3 linked regions of the Saccharomyces cerevisiae S288C genome follow. The protein of the gene in region 2 binds, or shares a complex with, the protein of the main gene of each other region. Each region holds a gene or a part of one and is shown on either strand. Other genes may lie near its edges. A codon is read from its position in the direction of its gene.

Evidence for each region.
Region 1: the proteins of DAD3 (region 2) and DAD1 are in contact, whole or in part, in a cryo-EM structure (PDB 8Q84), measured with the Saccharomyces cerevisiae proteins. Residues at the interface, in NP_631876.1 of Saccharomyces cerevisiae: His3 (codon at 2,817), Asn4 (codon at 2,814), Leu5 (codon at 2,811), Gln9 (codon at 2,799), Leu13 (codon at 2,787), Tyr16 (codon at 2,778), Lys17 (codon at 2,775), Ser20 (codon at 2,766), Leu23 (codon at 2,757), Leu26 (codon at 2,748), Asp27 (codon at 2,745), Ile30 (codon at 2,736), Leu33 (codon at 2,727), Asn34 (codon at 2,724), Val48 (codon at 2,682), Glu52 (codon at 2,670), Ile53 (codon at 2,667), Leu54 (codon at 2,664), Met57 (codon at 2,655), Arg58 (codon at 2,652), Ile60 (codon at 2,646), Glu61 (codon at 2,643), Ile64 (codon at 2,634), Val67 (codon at 2,625), Gly68 (codon at 2,622), Lys72 (codon at 2,610); in NP_010299.3 of Saccharomyces cerevisiae: Thr16 (codon at 3,596), Tyr19 (codon at 3,605), Phe20 (codon at 3,608), Gln23 (codon at 3,617), Arg24 (codon at 3,620), Val27 (codon at 3,629), Leu28 (codon at 3,632), Glu30 (codon at 3,638), Ile31 (codon at 3,641), Thr34 (codon at 3,650), Met35 (codon at 3,653), Ser37 (codon at 3,659), Ile38 (codon at 3,662), Gly41 (codon at 3,671), Leu42 (codon at 3,674), Gly44 (codon at 3,680), Leu45 (codon at 3,683), Ser48 (codon at 3,692), Leu49 (codon at 3,695), Ser51 (codon at 3,701), Ser52 (codon at 3,704), Val55 (codon at 3,713), Phe59 (codon at 3,725), Val62 (codon at 3,734), Leu65 (codon at 3,743), Trp66 (codon at 3,746).
Region 3: the proteins of DAD3 (region 2) and DUO1 are in contact, whole or in part, in a cryo-EM structure (PDB 8Q84), measured with the Saccharomyces cerevisiae proteins. Residues at the interface, in NP_631876.1 of Saccharomyces cerevisiae: Leu8 (codon at 2,802), Glu11 (codon at 2,793), Val12 (codon at 2,790), Lys15 (codon at 2,781), Tyr16 (codon at 2,778), Gln18 (codon at 2,772), Leu19 (codon at 2,769), Asp22 (codon at 2,760), Leu23 (codon at 2,757), Ala25 (codon at 2,751), Leu26 (codon at 2,748), Thr29 (codon at 2,739), Ile30 (codon at 2,736), Leu33 (codon at 2,727), Gln45 (codon at 2,691), Glu46 (codon at 2,688), Val48 (codon at 2,682), Asp51 (codon at 2,673), Glu52 (codon at 2,670), Glu56 (codon at 2,658), Met57 (codon at 2,655), Asp59 (codon at 2,649), Ile60 (codon at 2,646), Lys63 (codon at 2,637), Ile64 (codon at 2,634), Leu66 (codon at 2,628), Val67 (codon at 2,625); in NP_011454.1 of Saccharomyces cerevisiae: Leu64 (codon at 2,614), Glu67 (codon at 2,605), Ser68 (codon at 2,602), Leu71 (codon at 2,593), Asp72 (codon at 2,590), Ile74 (codon at 2,584), Thr75 (codon at 2,581), Ile78 (codon at 2,572), Lys79 (codon at 2,569), Val81 (codon at 2,563), Thr82 (codon at 2,560), Leu85 (codon at 2,551), Lys86 (codon at 2,548), Leu89 (codon at 2,539), Val93 (codon at 2,527), Asn94 (codon at 2,524), Val96 (codon at 2,518), His97 (codon at 2,515), Cys100 (codon at 2,506), Thr103 (codon at 2,497), Asn104 (codon at 2,494), Leu107 (codon at 2,485), Asp108 (codon at 2,482), Trp110 (codon at 2,476), Ile111 (codon at 2,473).

The regions. Positions count from the first base shown.
Region 1 is NC_001136.10:476,561-482,308, reverse strand, and holds DAD1 (Dad1p), read left to right. Parts: upstream 1-3,550; coding exon 3,551-3,835; downstream 3,836-5,748. Other genes in the region: inositol polyphosphate kinase KCS1, read left to right, coding at 42-3,194; HED1 (Hed1p), read right to left, coding at 4,024-4,512. UniProt on the Saccharomyces cerevisiae protein: Component of the DASH complex that connects microtubules with kinetochores and couples microtubule depolymerisation to chromosome movement; it is involved in retrieving kinetochores to the spindle poles before their re-orientation on the spindle in early mitosis and allows microtubule depolymerization to pull chromosomes apart and resist detachment during anaphase.
Region 2 is NC_001134.8:681,918-687,799, reverse strand, and holds DAD3 (Dad3p), read right to left. Parts: upstream 2,824-5,882; coding exon 2,539-2,823; downstream 1-2,538. Other genes in the region: VHC1 (Vhc1p), read right to left, coding at 1-899; ARC40 (Arc40p), read left to right, coding at 1,208-2,362; telomere maintenance protein PBP2, read right to left, coding at 3,131-4,372; SWC5 (Swc5p), read left to right, coding at 4,710-5,621.
Region 3 is NC_001139.9:386,909-392,915, forward strand, and holds DUO1 (Duo1p), read right to left. Parts: upstream 2,804-6,007; coding exon 2,060-2,803; downstream 1-2,059. Other genes in the region: PYC1 (pyruvate carboxylase 1), read left to right, coding at 1-1,824; YBP2 (Ybp2p), read left to right, coding at 3,157-5,082; protein kinase PKP2, read left to right, coding at 5,315-6,007. UniProt on the Saccharomyces cerevisiae protein: Component of the DASH complex that connects microtubules with kinetochores and couples microtubule depolymerisation to chromosome movement; it is involved in retrieving kinetochores to the spindle poles before their re-orientation on the spindle in early mitosis and allows microtubule depolymerization to pull chromosomes apart and resist detachment during anaphase.

The sequences.
Region 1 (5,748 bases), on a different chromosome or scaffold from region 2:
TTTTTTATTTTTTGTATATATAAAACTAAAGCTAAAAGACTATGGATACCTCTCACGAAATTCATGATAAAATACCCGATACATTAAGAGAGCAGCAGCAGCATTTGCGCCAAAAAGAGTCGGAAGGGTGCATAACAACATTGAAAGATCTTAATGTACCTGAGACGAAGAAACTTTCCTCCGTCTTACATGGCAGAAAGGCGAGTACATATTTAAGAATTTTTAGAGATGATGAATGTTTAGCCGATAACAACAATGGTGTAGATAGCAATAATGGCGGGTCCGTGACATGCGCGGACAAAATAACAAGGTCAGAAGCAACTCCCAAATCGGTACCAGAAGGACTACAAGTTTCTGAAAAAAAGAATAACCCAGATACTTTGTCCTCTTCATTGTCAAGTTTCATTTTATCTAACCACGAGGAGCCGGCAATTAAGCCCAATAAACACGTGGCGCATAGAAATAATATTACTGAGACAGGTCAAGGCTCTGGTGAGGATATCGCAAAACAACAATCACACCAACCACAGGTGTTACACCACCAGACTTCTTTAAAGCCAATTCAGAATGTTGATGAGGGATGTATTTCGCCTAAGTCCACTTATCAGGAGAGCTTACATGGAATATCGGAGGACTTAACGTTAAAGCCTGTTTCTTCTGCAACATACTATCCTCACAAAAGTAAAGCAGATTCTGGTTATGAAGAAAAGGATAAAATGGAAAATGATATTGATACTATTCAGCCTGCCACCATAAATTGTGCCTCTGGTATAGCGACACTTCCTAGTTCATATAACCGACATACTTTCAAAGTTAAGACATATTCAACTTTATCACAATCCCTAAGGCAAGAAAACGTCAACAATCGTAGTAACGAAAAAAAACCTCAACAGTTTGTGCCACATAGCGAATCAATTAAAGAAAAACCCAATACGTTTGAACAAGATAAAGAAGGCGAGCAAGCGGACGAAGAAGAGGATGAAGGTGATAATGAACATAGGGAATATCCCCTAGCAGTTGAACTAAAACCATTTACGAATAGAGTTGGAGGTCACACTGCAATATTCAGATTTTCGAAGAGAGCGGTTTGTAAGGCTCTAGTGAATAGAGAAAACAGGTGGTATGAGAATATAGAGCTGTGCCATAAAGAATTATTGCAATTCATGCCACGTTATATTGGTGTCCTGAATGTTAGGCAACATTTTCAGTCAAAAGATGACTTTTTAAGCGATTTGGATCAAGAAAACAACGGTAAAAATGATACCAGTAATGAAAACAAAGACATAGAAGTCAATCATAACAATAACGACGATATTGCGCTTAATACAGAACCCACGGGGACCCCCTTAACACACATACATTCCTTCCCCTTGGAACATTCGTCGAGACAAGTACTTGAAAAAGAGCATCCTGAAATTGAGTCTGTCCATCCACACGTGAAAAGATCACTGTCAAGTTCCAACCAACCTTCCTTGTTGCCCGAGGTTGTATTAAATGATAACAGGCATATTATACCGGAATCTCTGTGGTACAAATATTCCGATTCTCCAAACTCGGCACCGAATGATTCGTACTTTTCGTCCTCCTCTTCTCATAACTCATGTTCGTTCGGTGAGCGTGGCAATACAAATAAATTAAAAAGACGCGATTCTGGGTCCACCATGATCAATACTGAATTGAAGAACCTAGTCATAAGGGAAGTATTTGCACCGAAATGTTTTAGAAGGAAAAGAAACTCTAATACGACTACAATGGGAAACCATAATGCGCGTTTGGGTTCCAGTCCATCTTTTTTAACACAAAAATCAAGAGCCTCGTCCCATGATGCATCGAATACGTCTATGAAGACTCTTGGTGATTCATCGTCACAAGCGAGTTTACAGATGGATGACTCGAAAGTCAATCCGAATTTGCAGGATCCTTTCTTGAAAAAATCGCTTCATGAAAAAATATCTAATGCTTTAGATGGCTCGCATTCAGTAATGGATTTGAAGCAATTCCACAAAAACGAACAAATAAAACATAAAAACTCTTTCTGCAACTCTTTATCACCCATTCTCACTGCAACCAATTCTAGAGATGATGGCGAATTTGCCACCTCCCCGAATTATATCAGCAACGCACAAGATGGTGTTTTTGATATGGATGAAGATACGGGAAACGAAACTATAAATATGGATAACCACGGCTGCCATCTTGACTCTGGTAAAAACATGATTATAAAGTCATTGGCGTATAATGTTTCAAATGACTATAGTCATCATGATATTGAATCAATTACGTTTGAGGAGACGTCCCACACCATTGTTTCAAAATTTATCTTATTGGAAGATTTGACAAGAAACATGAACAAGCCTTGTGCACTGGATCTAAAGATGGGGACAAGACAATATGGCGTAGACGCCAAAAGAGCCAAGCAACTGTCACAGCGTGCAAAGTGTTTAAAGACCACTTCTAGGCGTTTAGGCGTTAGAATCTGCGGATTAAAGGTTTGGAACAAAGATTATTATATCACAAGAGATAAATACTTTGGTAGAAGGGTTAAGGTTGGTTGGCAATTTGCTAGGGTACTTGCACGTTTTTTGTATGATGGTAAGACCATTGAAAGTTTAATCAGGCAAATTCCAAGGTTGATCAAGCAACTAGATACTTTGTATTCTGAAATTTTTAATTTGAAAGGTTACAGGCTATATGGCGCGTCTTTATTACTAATGTACGATGGAGATGCTAATAAATCAAATTCTAAAAGGAAAAAAGCTGCTAATGTTAAAGTCAACTTGATCGATTTTGCACGTTGTGTTACTAAAGAAGATGCAATGGAATGTATGGATAAATTTCGTATACCCCCAAAATCGCCAAATATAGAAGATAAAGGGTTCTTACGAGGTGTGAAGAGCTTGAGGTTTTATCTGTTATTAATCTGGAATTATCTGACTTCTGATATGCCGTTAATTTTCGATGAAGTAGAGATGAATGATATGATTAGCGAAGAAGCAGATTCGAATAGTTTCACCTCCGCCACCGGTTCGAAAATCAACTTCAACAGTAAGTGGGATTGGTTAGATGAATTTGACAAAGAAGACGAAGAAATGTATAATGATCCAAATAGTAAACTAAGACAAAAATGGAGAAAATACGAGCTTATTTTCGACGCTGAACCAAGATACAATGACGATGCTCAAGTTAGTGATTGAAAAGAAAGGATAGAACTAATGAATATTCTTTTAGCTGCGCTTATTTCAGTCCGTAAATGCATTTATCTATTCGTAACTATCATTATTTTGATTGCATAATCCAATAAATACACAAACGAGCATAGCATATATAACTATATATATGAAAAGACAAACGAATTTGTACGTGTATGAATATGACTACACGGTTATAGGCGATCACTAGAACCATTGAGCGGAAAGGGCCACCTCCGGGTAAAAGTCAAGGCCGCGAAAATAACAAAGGGAATAAACAGTCACCTTTAACAAGAGGAGGTAGTAATTAGCGTAGGAATAGGACTGATGAAGAGCTCGGACGTGTGAGGATATATGTACATATGATGGCTAGTACATCCAATGATGAAGAAAAGTTGATATCAACCACTGACAAATACTTCATCGAGCAGAGGAATATAGTATTGCAGGAGATCAATGAGACTATGAATTCAATCTTGAATGGTCTGAATGGTCTCAATATATCATTGGAGAGCTCGATAGCTGTGGGAAGAGAATTCCAGTCAGTTTCTGATTTGTGGAAAACACTTTATGATGGGTTGGAAAGTTTATCAGACGAAGCGCCCATCGACGAGCAACCTACTTTATCTCAATCGAAAACGAAGTAAAGTTGCGGTTCCCTCTGTCTCTCCTAATATTATCCTAAATTTATGTTTACAGTCGCAAATTAGATAAAGGATACGTAAGATATAAATTGTAATTTTAGCCTAATGATAAGTAAGTTGTGGACAACTTTTGCACGTTGAAAAAAGTGGAGGGCCACCGAACTCTTTTTCAAACGTTCTCCTCTTTGAACTTAGTTGTCTACCGTTTTGGATGGTAATAGCTGTTTCTTGGATAGACCTACCTTATATTTAACCTTGTTAGAATCCACCTGATAGAATGTCTTGTTCGTTTCATATATCAAGTCCTTTAGGCTCTTCTTCTTCCTTGGAGGGCTTTTCTTCATTGAAGGTGGTGGTTGTAGCCTGTCAAGCTCTTTCGAGGGACCTCCTTGGTATTGATCTTGTTCTCTTACTCCTTTTTTGGCGTCCAGATAAGCACCCCCATTGGGGCTTCCGCCACCTGTGTTCTCAGACAGATTTTTGGCACGAAGTTGTTGTTTTTCCAATTCCAAATTAAACAGTCTTCTTTCTACAACGTTGATGTTGACTATGGGAGAAGTCGTAATAGACCTTTTGTTCTTTCTTGCTGGAGCAACTTCGGTGCACAAGCTCTTTTCGGCATTATTATGTACCCCGAGTGGTATATAGGAGCAGCTTCTCCTATTTGATCTTTGTTGCATCGTCTTGATTTCTCTCTTTCGTTCGTCTCTGACATGTAGTTGTAATTCAAGAATTTAACCTGGGCGGCTATCTTAATAAATAGTGCATTACTCAAGCAAAAATCAGAAACCACGTACGCTAATTAAAGCCGTGAAAAACGAAAATATAAATATGCGAGAGTATACATTAAAATATTGTACATGTTAGCGACGCAGATTTATACCTCGCCATTTTTAGTCTTGAATTGAGGTGATCTTTTATTAAAGAGCATATCACCTCGGCAAGAACCCAGGTCTATTACACAAGTGGCAAGGCAAAGTGTGCATAATAAATATGTAATATAGTTACTTGCATTTTTTAATCTCTTGAGGTTATTATTCCTCATGTTGTCTAACTTCCAAGCAACTAGGAGTGATAAACACGTCGTCTTTAGGAATGGTGAACATTGGCAGTTATGGCCATTCAGAATGAATTTCAAGAGAAAAAGGATGCACCTTGCATGAAGTACCAAGAAAATAGACAAATCCGCTGGAGAAATTGGTATTGTTACTATAATTCTTATTCCCGATGTTCCAAGCAGGCATTCACATGCATCAGTTGAAAGGTATATAAGTACTACTTCAATATATCTATCAGCTCTGGGAAAATGCTTCAAGAAGGAAAAATGATAAGTAAACTATCCTTTAACGCCTCATGATTATTGAATAGCCTATACATGCAGAGATTAAATTTGATCCAACACCAGTAAATCCTTAGTTAAGTCATCGCATGCATGTTTACCATACATTCACTACTATTTGTGTACGGAAGACCAAATAAGATAAACCATAATGCTGGTCTCCTTCCATTTACTAACATACGTAATTGCTCCTACTGCCGTTCAGCCTAACCTACTCACACATTCTGATGGTGATCATGCAATCTTTGAGTGAATATGTTGACTAAAAGAACATTAAGCTTTATTTTTTTGGCGTGACCAGCGGGTACTGCGATTCTTTGACTTTGTTTTCTACTGTATCACTGGAAATTGATTGAATAATTAACCAATTTAAAGTAACAATAACACAGTATCACAAAAAGTCACCTGATGGACCTTATGGGATATAGAATTTTTACCCGCCGAGTTTCAAGACTCTGCGGTATATTAATTACCATCAGTACATTATTAATGAATATATTAACCTTTTTTCGTATGTTTATTAATATACTATTTTTATTGCATTGTTATATCGTCTACCCGAAGTACTCTAGGCTTC
Region 2 (5,882 bases):
GCGAATATACCAGCTGTAGCAGGAAAAAAAACGCCAAATAAATCATTGAATGTTTCCTTACCTTTGAGTAACGAACCTGCTGCACCTTTTGTTAAGTGAGGGAGCAGGTTATCATGAAAAGTTTGCCATGAAGGACCTGTATAACTGATACCGCCTTCAGTGAATGGCGATCTTATCAATGCAGAAAGTGGAATGGAAAATATAGAAGCTGCCAGTACCAAAAAAAGAATATTCCCTGCTCTTGACACTGTTTGCGAGCCAACAAAAGCCACAGAAAAACATAAGAAAAGAATGACCGTGGCATATGTAAATTCGTGCCAATGCCCTCTTGGTAGTAGCTCTCCCAAAGCTGCAGGTGGCTCGCCTTGAGCAGAATAACCCAAGTTATAGAGTAAAGGTTCGATAATACCCACTGCGTTCATACCTGCATTGAACACCTGCCCTAAGAAAAAGACAAGCCCAATGGATCCACCAAATTCAGGTCCTAAACTTCTTGAAATCATATAATAAGCACCCCCGCCCCTAACAGTCCCGTTTGTAGATATAGCAGATATACTTAACGTGGTGAGAAGATTAATAGTGTAACTCAATAGCAGAAGACCGATGGTGCATATAATACCTAACTGACCCAAAATGAAGCCAAAACGAAGAAACATAAGGATAGACAATACGTTTAAAGCAGTAGGCACAAATACCCCATCGTATGTTCCCAACTTATCTTTGTTTGGGTTATCAGGATCATACTTAGAGGAAACTTTTTGGCATTCAGGGGTCGCCTGATAATTGAAATATGTTTGACTTATTCTCCTTGCAGACAACAGTGAAGAAGATTCATTTGAAGAAGATATTGCCGACGATGGCCGATGCGTACCTGGAATCTGATAAAACCTACTAACCATTAATCCTACAAGAAAGGCCTATTCTTAAAGAGAATTGGCTGGCAAAAACACTGTCTCTATCACTTCTTCGACAACAAGCACAACCATTTCTTAGATTTCCTTGTTACTCTTTAACAACAATGTTGATAATGAATCCTACGTTATCAGTTGCACAATTATCAAAATCTTCTTGTCACCCGCCCGCGCCTTGCCTATAATGAAAAAGGGTCAAATAAGAGCAATCTTGATCGAGAAAGCTTCCAGATTAGAAACAAAGAAAAATAGGAAAAATAAGCCGAAGTAAACGTATATTAGTTGAGAGTCTCCTAATGTCATTTTCCAATTCTAAAGACAAGTCCGTTGTTGCCGTCTACAAGCTGGTCAAAGCGCCAATCTACTCTCATTGCTTTTCTCAAGATAAATCTATTTTAGCCGTTACATGCGAAACAGATTGTCTTGTCTATAGAGTTTCAAACAACACACCTCCCGTTTTATTCGCAACGTTGAAAGATCATGATAAAACCATTACTGCTGTGGACATTTCCATACATGGTCGTATTGTGACTTGCTCCCAAGACCGTAATGCTTACGTTTGGGAGCCATTGAGTGATGGGACATACAAGCCCACGTTAGTACTTCTTCGTATTAACAGAGCAGCTACTTCAGTTACATGGGCACCAAATGGTTATAAGTTTGCTGTTGGGTCCAGTGCTAGAATCATCGCTGTTTGTTATTACGAACACGAGAATAATTGGTGGGTATCCAAGCACATCAAGAAACCCATCAAATCTACCATCAATTGCCTGTCTTGGCATGCAAATGGAGTCCTATTAGCTGCTGGTGGTACTGATGGGTTTATGCGTGTGTTCAGCGGGTTTATCAAGGGTTTGGATTCCAAGGAATCCGTCGCCGGATCACCCTGGGGCCAGAAATTCCCTTTTGGTTGTTTAATCAGGGAGTGGTATCAGGGTTCTTATATCCATGATGTGGAATGGAGAAGTCAGATGGAAAGAATTGCTTATGTAGCGCATGATGGTACTTTGAATGTTGTCGATTACCAATCTCCAGTGCAATCTGTCAATGCTCCGGAAGGTTTACCTTACAGGTCCTTAGTATGGATAAACGACCACGAGATTGTTTGTGGAGGATACTCTTGTCATCCGGTATTGTTCAGCGAAGCCTCTGAAGGCTGGAAATTTGCGAAGAATCTAGACAAATCAGACAATAACAAGTCTTCTGCCTTAACTGCATCTGGTAATACAGACGAGCTGAGTGGTAATAATGATGAAAGTTCAACTTTCGGTATTTCCGCATTGAGAAAGTTTAAAGAATTAGACTTGAAAGGTAAAGTTAGCACAGATGTCCAAGAAAGTGCACATGAAAACGCCATTGTGGAATTAAGACCTTTTGCGGAATCCAACGGCCAAATCACACAAGTCTCTTCCTGTGGGTTAGACGGTAAGATCGTCATTTATACAATTTAAATATACATACGTATATATATATATTGTTATGTGTATTCCCTACCTCATAATACACCTTGAGTTTGTATTGTTTTTTTCTTCACTTGGCATATACAGACTATATTATTACAACTCACAGCACAATGTAGTGTACCGTAAAAAATAAAGCATCAGAATCAATTTCTTGCACCAAACCATTATTTAGAATTGCTACCCAAAGACTCCTGTTCTTGCTTTCTTTGCAAGATAAGCGAGTACACGCTACCTTTTAGCAGTGTCCCAACTAAACCAATTTTGACCTCTATGTCCCTCATCTCCTGTAGTATCTCATCTGGCGATACAGTTTCTTGCTGTGAATGCTGTTGCCTGTGTTGCGAATAGTTTAGTTCTTTTATAGTTTCATCCAGAGCTTTTAGATCTAAAGAAAGCTGTTTGTATTTGTCCAATACTTCTTGCTGTAAAGGTGAAAGATTGTGTTCCATACTGTGACTACAACGCCGTGTATGTTTCACAGCGACTTTGACTGGCTACTGTAAGCTCTTCTTTTGTATTCTTTGGAATAGTTTATTTACATGTAATTACTGTAATAGCGCGCAGCCGAGCTAAAAAAAAAAAAAATACAAAGCTTTTGATCAATTTGTTACAAAGAGAAATAATTCCGCGTACGTATTTCTATTGATATTTATATATCTACATTCATTCAATTTATTACCTTTTCTTTTATTTTTTTTGCCTTTTGTAGTTTCTGTATTTTTATTTTCTATGTGTTTTTATTGACTAGCAGTATATTTAGAGGGGCGACCTTCTTTTACGTTCAGCATTTGATCTATCAATTTCAATTTTATTGCTAATCAACATAATAGCAGCTTGGGACGCCATGAACGTACCTCTTATGGTAAGTCTTCTCTCCGAAGAGCCTTCTACAGGATCTTGTATAATAATTGAACAACCTGTGGATTCCTTGACCGAATTTATGTGCTTGCCATCTTTGCCAATGACATTTCCGACAAATTTCTCATCTATGAATATCTCTTGTTGTACAAAGTTCATTAATAAATGGTTGCCGGGTGCCGGACTGATAACAGGGCCGTCTAAGACTGTCACATTAGGGATAACGAAGTTCGGTTGAAAGGCCGTTGCGTTTGCAACGCTAGCAGTAGTATACTGCGGTGTGGCCATACTCAACAAAGTAGATGATATTGGTAAATTTTTGTTGGGTTTGTATGAAAGTAGTTTATCGCTTGGATGATATTGGTGGTTTCTTTGATGGAAAATGGTGTTCGGTTGGCTATGGTCTATTAATACTGAGTTAAACTGAGTTGGCTGATAGTATATGGACCTTTTCACATTTTTCTGCGGAGATTCCATCTGAAAGTTTAGCAATGTTTGACTAATGTAGAAAGTAGCAATATGGATAGCATCCGGAACCCCGTTAATGGTTAAAATTCTATCGTTAGAAAGCAGCAATTGATTCGGGGACGCGAATAATTTTGCTGCACTCAAATCCTCAATTTCTCTTAACCGAGACCCACGTTTGCCAATTATACATCCCATAAGATGATGAGGGATCAATAGGTTGATAGAAATCTCAATGTCTTCCCCGTTATCTTCGTTACCATGTTCTTCAAGCAGCGCTCTTACTATCATGCCGTATGCCTTGGCTACATCATCGCAAGTACCCCTCACGTAAACAATTCTTTCAGGAACACCTCTGATATTATTTGATATGTTTATTCTAGCAGAGGTTTCGGATTTTATTCTAGATATAGTGGCGCCCTTGTGTCCTACTATCAGTGAAGCGTGTTTGACTAAGCACAGCATTCGTAAATGTACATCAGAGGGAACATTGTCGGGGGAATCGTGGTCGTTGTCAGAGTGGCTGTCTGCATCCTTCAGGGCCACGCGTTTGATTTCTGCTTCCAGTTGTTCCTCGCTGGTGTCTTCACCCTTTTTCCTTTTGAGCGTGTTGGGAGAAACGAGTACAGTAGTTGGTGTAGTAGTGATTGATGGTTTTGTAGTCTCTGTGGACATAATTGAGCTAAAGAGTATTACAGAAAGATTATTTAATGCCGCGCTGGACGATTAAAATTGTTAGAGTGGATGTGGCTATGGATAAGTTTGAATATGAAAAAGGTTACTTATGCGGCTAACGACTAGGTGCGTATTTATCGTTTGACGAGTATGTACGTGTTTTCTTTTGTATCATGATATTTCGTGTAAGTACCATATCGGGGAAAGACAAAAAAAAGTGAATTAAAGAGCGAAGTTTAAAGATGATGAATAGGATTAATCGACAAGTAAGAAAAAAGACGAAAAGGCGTAAACTGGAATAATATTGTTTCAAGAAAGAAAACCCACTAGCCTATAAATGCCAGAAGTAGAGACAAAGATTATACCAAACGAAAAGGAGGACGAGGACGAGGACGGCTACATAGAAGAGGAGGACGAGGACTTCCAGCCTGAAAAAGATAAATTAGGTGGTGGTAGCGACGATAGTGATGCCAGCGATGGCGGTGACGACTATGATGACGGTGTGAACAGAGATAAGGGTAGAAATAAAGTGGACTATTCGCGTATAGAGAGCGAGAGCGGCGGACTGATCAAGACTAGAAGAGCTCGGCAAGCTGAGGAAGAATATGCGAAAACACATAAGTATGAATCGTTAACTGTTGAATCGATCCCTGCAAAAGTAAACAGCATCTGGGAGGAGCTACAGGAAGCTAGTAAGAACCGTCTTTTGAGCAGTTCAGGGAAAGTCGGCTCTGTTCTCGACGGTTCCAAGGAGGCTAGGTCGACAACGGCCGCGCAACAGGAGGACAAAATCCTCATCGAAAGAAACTACAAGTTTGCTGGTGAAACTGTCCATGAGAAAAAATGGGTTTCACGCAGCAGTGCGGAGGGTCAAGAATATCTAAACAGTTTGAAATTTAAGCAGCAGGCGCCTGCTGCTCCTGTTCAACTGGAAAAAGCAGTTAGGACCAAGTCCAATGAAAGCCGGCAACACTTGCGACGGCCACTGAAAAGGCCTCCATTGTTGGAGCAGATCATTTCTGGCGGGCTACGACCCAAGCTAACGACATTAGAAAAATCTCAGCTGGACTGGGCTAGTTATGTAGACCGTGCTGGACTTAACGACGAATTGGTGCTGCACAACAAGGATGGGTTCTTGGCCCGGCAAGAATTTCTGCAGCGGGTCGGGTCTGCAGAGGACGAGAGATACAAAGAATTGCGCCGGCAACAACTTGCTCAGCAGTTGCAGCAGGATAGCGAAGCTTCATAGACAAATATTACATGTATTAAATAACATGCTTTTCTGCTCAAATTTTTTTAACCGCCGAGGCCTGCACACTTTCACTACGTGTATAACGATGCTGCAGACAAAGTAATGGGGTGTATGGGTGTGGGTGGCAAAAAAAACCTAGCAACGCTCTATGTTTCTTTTCTTTTTTCTTTCTTTTTTTTTTTTTGCCGTTTCCGATGGGCCACTCGGTGAAAACATATAAAAAGGGCTCTACATTCATTTTTTCATCGATGAGTACTT
Region 3 (6,007 bases), on a different chromosome or scaffold from region 2:
CTTGCAACAAGAGTCAGAACCCACGATTTGGCTACAATCGCTCCAACAACCGCACATGCCCTTGCAGGTCGTTTCGCCTTAGAATGTTGGGGTGGTGCCACATTCGATGTTGCAATGAGATTTTTGCATGAGGATCCATGGGAACGTTTGAGAAAATTAAGATCTCTGGTGCCTAATATTCCATTCCAAATGTTATTGCGTGGTGCCAATGGTGTGGCTTATTCTTCATTGCCTGACAATGCTATTGACCATTTCGTCAAGCAAGCCAAGGATAATGGTGTTGATATATTTAGAGTCTTTGATGCCTTAAATGACTTGGAACAATTGAAGGTCGGTGTAGATGCTGTGAAGAAGGCAGGTGGTGTTGTAGAAGCCACTGTTTGTTTCTCTGGGGATATGCTTCAGCCAGGCAAGAAATACAATTTGGATTACTACTTGGAAATTGCTGAAAAAATTGTCCAAATGGGCACTCATATCCTGGGTATCAAAGATATGGCAGGTACCATGAAGCCAGCAGCTGCCAAACTACTGATTGGATCTTTGAGGGCTAAGTACCCTGATCTCCCAATACATGTTCACACTCACGATTCTGCAGGTACTGCTGTTGCATCAATGACTGCGTGTGCTCTGGCGGGCGCCGATGTCGTTGATGTTGCCATCAACTCAATGTCTGGTTTAACTTCACAACCATCAATCAATGCTCTGTTGGCTTCATTAGAAGGTAATATTGACACTGGTATTAACGTTGAGCATGTCCGTGAACTAGATGCATATTGGGCAGAGATGAGATTGTTATACTCTTGTTTCGAGGCTGACTTGAAGGGCCCAGATCCAGAAGTTTATCAACATGAAATCCCAGGTGGTCAATTGACAAACTTGTTGTTTCAAGCCCAACAATTGGGTCTTGGAGAACAATGGGCCGAAACAAAAAGAGCTTACAGAGAAGCCAATTATTTATTGGGTGATATTGTCAAAGTTACCCCAACTTCGAAGGTCGTTGGTGATCTGGCACAATTTATGGTCTCCAATAAATTAACTTCCGATGATGTGAGACGCCTGGCTAATTCTTTGGATTTCCCTGACTCTGTTATGGATTTCTTCGAAGGCTTAATCGGCCAACCATATGGTGGGTTCCCAGAACCATTTAGATCAGACGTTTTAAGGAACAAGAGAAGAAAGTTGACTTGTCGTCCAGGCCTGGAACTAGAGCCATTTGATCTCGAAAAAATTAGAGAAGACTTGCAGAATAGATTTGGTGATGTTGATGAGTGCGACGTTGCTTCTTATAACATGTACCCAAGAGTTTATGAAGACTTCCAAAAGATGAGAGAAACGTATGGTGATTTATCTGTATTGCCAACAAGAAGCTTTTTGTCTCCACTAGAGACTGACGAAGAAATTGAAGTTGTAATCGAACAAGGTAAAACGCTAATTATCAAGCTACAGGCTGTGGGTGATTTGAACAAAAAGACCGGTGAAAGAGAAGTTTACTTTGATTTGAATGGTGAAATGAGAAAAATTCGTGTTGCTGACAGATCACAAAAAGTGGAAACTGTTACTAAATCCAAAGCAGACATGCATGATCCATTACACATTGGTGCACCAATGGCAGGTGTCATTGTTGAAGTTAAAGTTCATAAAGGATCACTAATAAAGAAGGGCCAACCTGTAGCCGTATTAAGCGCCATGAAAATGGAAATGATTATATCTTCTCCATCCGATGGACAAGTTAAAGAAGTGTTTGTCTCTGATGGTGAAAATGTGGACTCTTCTGATTTATTAGTTCTATTAGAAGACCAAGTTCCTGTTGAAACTAAGGCATGAACCGGTTAGTTCTCATTTATAATGTATAATATACCCGAATCTTATTTATTTACCTTTCCTATTTTTTGACGACCAGTAAATACTAATACATAATTAGGAACAAAAGTTAAATAAAAAAAAAAATAATAATTTAACGCATCCAATTAACGTGTCCTTTTTTCATCATTAATTTATCTACTATTTCGATTTAAATTCCATATACAATAAATCCTAGATACATTCCCGAAAGCATCTTTTAGCGAAACATCTTCCTTGAGCTGCTAGCAGTGGGCTTAGTCCACCTGTTAGTTACTCTTGGTATACCACTAGGTCTTTTCGAGGCAGGAACATGGGTCTTTCTTACTCTTCCGTTATTTGAAATTCCTGCCGAAGGAACGGGCCTTCTACCAGATTGCACACCGTACCTTGGATTTAAGCCTTGATTTGGTGGCTTTGCTGGTGCAGCATCCTTTTCACCCTTCCTATTTTCTAATTTTTGTCTCAAATCCAAGATCTCCTTCTTTTTCAACGCTATCACGTTGTGTAAAGTACTCCCATCTTCATCATTTGTGTTTACATTTTCATTGTGCAGTCTATCATTAATTAGCTTTAAATAGGTTTGATCGCTCATCAATTTATGAATATAACCAGCTTGAGAATGAATGTTGATCCATGAATCTAAAATGGAATTCGTAGATTTACATACCTCATGTACTTGATTAACGTATACTGGCAAGTTATTTTTTAATGCGGCCGTAACATTTTTTATCATTGCTGTTATTTTATCTAACGATTCTGATTCTTTGAGTAAGGATTGCGTTGTGATTGAATTAAACGATCTTATAGAATTGCTGTTAGCCGAAATATTATCGCTTGCTCCACCTCCTGTGCTTTTTGGAAATTTATTGGTCGTGTTATTGAGGTTAGATCTCATCTCATTGAAAATCTGTGGAATCAGTTTGTCTATAGTCGAATCATCTAATTGGCTTTGCTCACTCATATTGAAGACTTGTTCAAGTTTCAAATTATCTTCTTTAGTAATACTTGAGTCACCAGTCCAGATTACTTAGCCTATCTTTCTTTATCGCGTTTGATTTTGGCGTTTGTTTGTAATTATTATTCTTTTTTCCTTCGTTTCGCTGTGAAACTAACTTGCGCTGAGGTCCAAAAACCTCTCATCTAAGAATAAAGGAAAATACATATTATCCTGGGTCTAAAAGGCTAAAAGAACTCACCGTCAAGAGGAAGGGCTCAGAAAGTATGGGTGAGTCAATTGAAACAATTTGTAAAAGCCTTGTCAGGGCTTTCCAAGAGGAGAAGGATGATTTTGTCTCACTTGTAACAATCATTGATATGTACAACGAGCAGGTGAACTCTGGAAAGTCTATAAAAGAAAAGGAACGTTATTTGGATGCCCTATTGAAAATACTTAAGGATAATCCAGTTACCTTAAAGGAAATTGGCTGGGATCTGCCAAAGGGTTTATTGCAGTTTTTCTCACGCAAAAACATCAATGTCAATATACATCTAGTTTTTAGTCCCCTTGTTTCTAGTGTGATGGAATGCTTCAATGAGCTAGCCATCAATGGAAATCCGAAAGAATGCTTGTTGACCGCTTGCGAATTGGTGTCAACACTCCATATAGTCTTAACTGAAACTGGCGACTCCGATGAAGAGAATGAAGATTTAAATGACTCCAATAGAAATGATGCGTCAAACATTACTGATGAGCTGTCAGTTATCACTCCGGAGATTGGGCACTATATGGCCAAAAATACAGTAGAATTCATTCCAAATTTGAAAATTTACGTTCTCTTTGAATTTATGAGTTTATTGTTGAAACGTGTGGACACTTTATATCCATCTAAATTTCTAGCCATGGTAACTTCTGCAATTATTAAGTATGTAACAACCAACGTTCAGGCTATGGATGATCCACACTTTATTTTGCGCATAGTGTACAATTTTTGTACTAATTACTCTCCAGCTCAACCATCTGCTAGTCTGACCGATGGTATTAGTACAAACGATCTTGAAAAAATTCATGATGATGAATCTGCCTTACAGAAAAAACTACTGGCTAATCTGAGCGTATTCGTGATTAGCAACTGCCTAAAAAATCATCCAGGTAATATTGACAAGATATATTTCAAAACATTGATGCATAAAAAAACAGATGAAAATGAAATCGATGCTTCAGTTTTACAGATATGCCACCAATACTACGAGTATGTCACATCATTGGATGTCCACATGAAAGAACTTTTAGAAAAGTGCCTGGTAGAATCAAGAAGCATCTATAACTCTCTTCTCATGAACCCGGCCGCTTCCACGCCCGAATTCAAAGAAGAAATTAACCAACTAGTATATGAGGTATCTTACGCATATCAAATCAAGAAACTAGCTGACGAAAAGAACTTAGAGCTGGACCAATATGGAGTTGTGATTCTATCTGCAATACATTATTCTAAAAATGGTACTCACTTATTGCCGCAAATTGATATCCAAAGCGCAATTTACCTCTATCTACGGTGTACGACAGCTTCTTTATTTTCAGAAATATACGAAAATAAGTTTTTGGAAAGTTCAGTACGCTACTGGCTATGGGTATCCACAACCGAGACTTCCACAGAGAAAATAAAGTGTGCCTTACAAGAACTTCCAGGGCACATTACCACGGCCTTTTTGCAGATGTTACTGATGAAAACTTGCAATGAATCTAATAACGACACTAAGTTGACCGAAATTACTCTTCTGAGGAGGTTACTCTATCTCATGCCCGAAAGCACATCTTTTACGTTCATCTTTGAAACTCTACTACATTGTCCATATATAACTGCAAAGATTGCTGTTCTTGACATTCTAAGAGATATGATGATTAGATCTCCTGAGGCTGCTAATCGTGACGAAACTGTCGGTTTAATCGAACAACAGAATCCTGGGAATACCGCTAATAGTGTACCGATAATGCCAACTCTACCTCCAAGACCTTACATCACTATTAATGAAGATCGCATGGCTTCCATTCATAGCATTGCTTTAATATGTTTTTCTGCCGCCAAGCAAAAGAAAAGAACGCAAGGTGATTTACTCTTGGTACTAACATATATGAAATTTTTTGTTAGTTTAAGGAACAAATGGGATTTGGGTCTGTTAACACTCATCAATAAAGAAATCTCCGAATCATTTCAAGGAGAAGGTGAGCCTGAATTAGCATTCATCAACATTTCCAATAATACTCTGGGAGAATATATAGAAGAGATGAACATACGCTCGTAAACTACATAGTAAATTAGTTGCTCTTCTCTTTTGTTCCCGAGTAAATCGAATTATTCTATTAAAGGGAAACACTATGTTTTGAGTCATCCAAACTTTCATTTTTTTCAGATTTCATCGCCCGATCGTCAAGGAATAAAAAGGGAAGGGATGGGATACTTGCATTGGAACCCAGAAAGTACGTAAAAGATGAAGATCGTGAGAGATTGGTCAATGGATAAATAGTTCTGTAATTATGTCTAAGTATCAAATTAATTGCATAAGATACCGGCACTTTCTCAGGACATCTAATATCTCGCAGATCCCTGATTTCACGAAATACTGCATTGGTCCCGTAAATGAAGAATTGGCACCTTACATCATGGAAACCATGAAGGCATACCCTTCAAATTCCGAATATATCAATCCGCAGCATTACTATCATAATAGAACGGTATTAGTAGAAAATTACTTAAAACGAAGTCCAAATCCAGTATCATTAACGCAGTTAGCGCAATATTATGACGATTCTACCAAGCTGACCAGAACCAAGATCATCAATTCCGGGAAATTTGTAAAAGAAGAACTGGTAATTAGGATCGCGCATAAATTAAATCAATTGCAACAACTTCCATTTAATGTTGTGAACAACTTCCATTTTGTTCAAGTTTATGAGTCATATTACAATATTTTTGAAAGCTTTAGAAAATATCCGACTATAAGAACTTTAGAGGACGCTTCTCAATTTGCAGATTTTATCAAAAATATGCTAGAAGGCTTCAATACTCTAAACTTACCACATTTGATAATGGGGGCTTTAGAATGTACAATTTTGGATCTTTATCCTCGTGAAAAAATGGACCAACTACTATCTGATCTGTTAAGAGCTCGAATATCAAGAAGATTGATTGTAGAGGAACACGTCAGTATCACAGCCAACTACACTAGT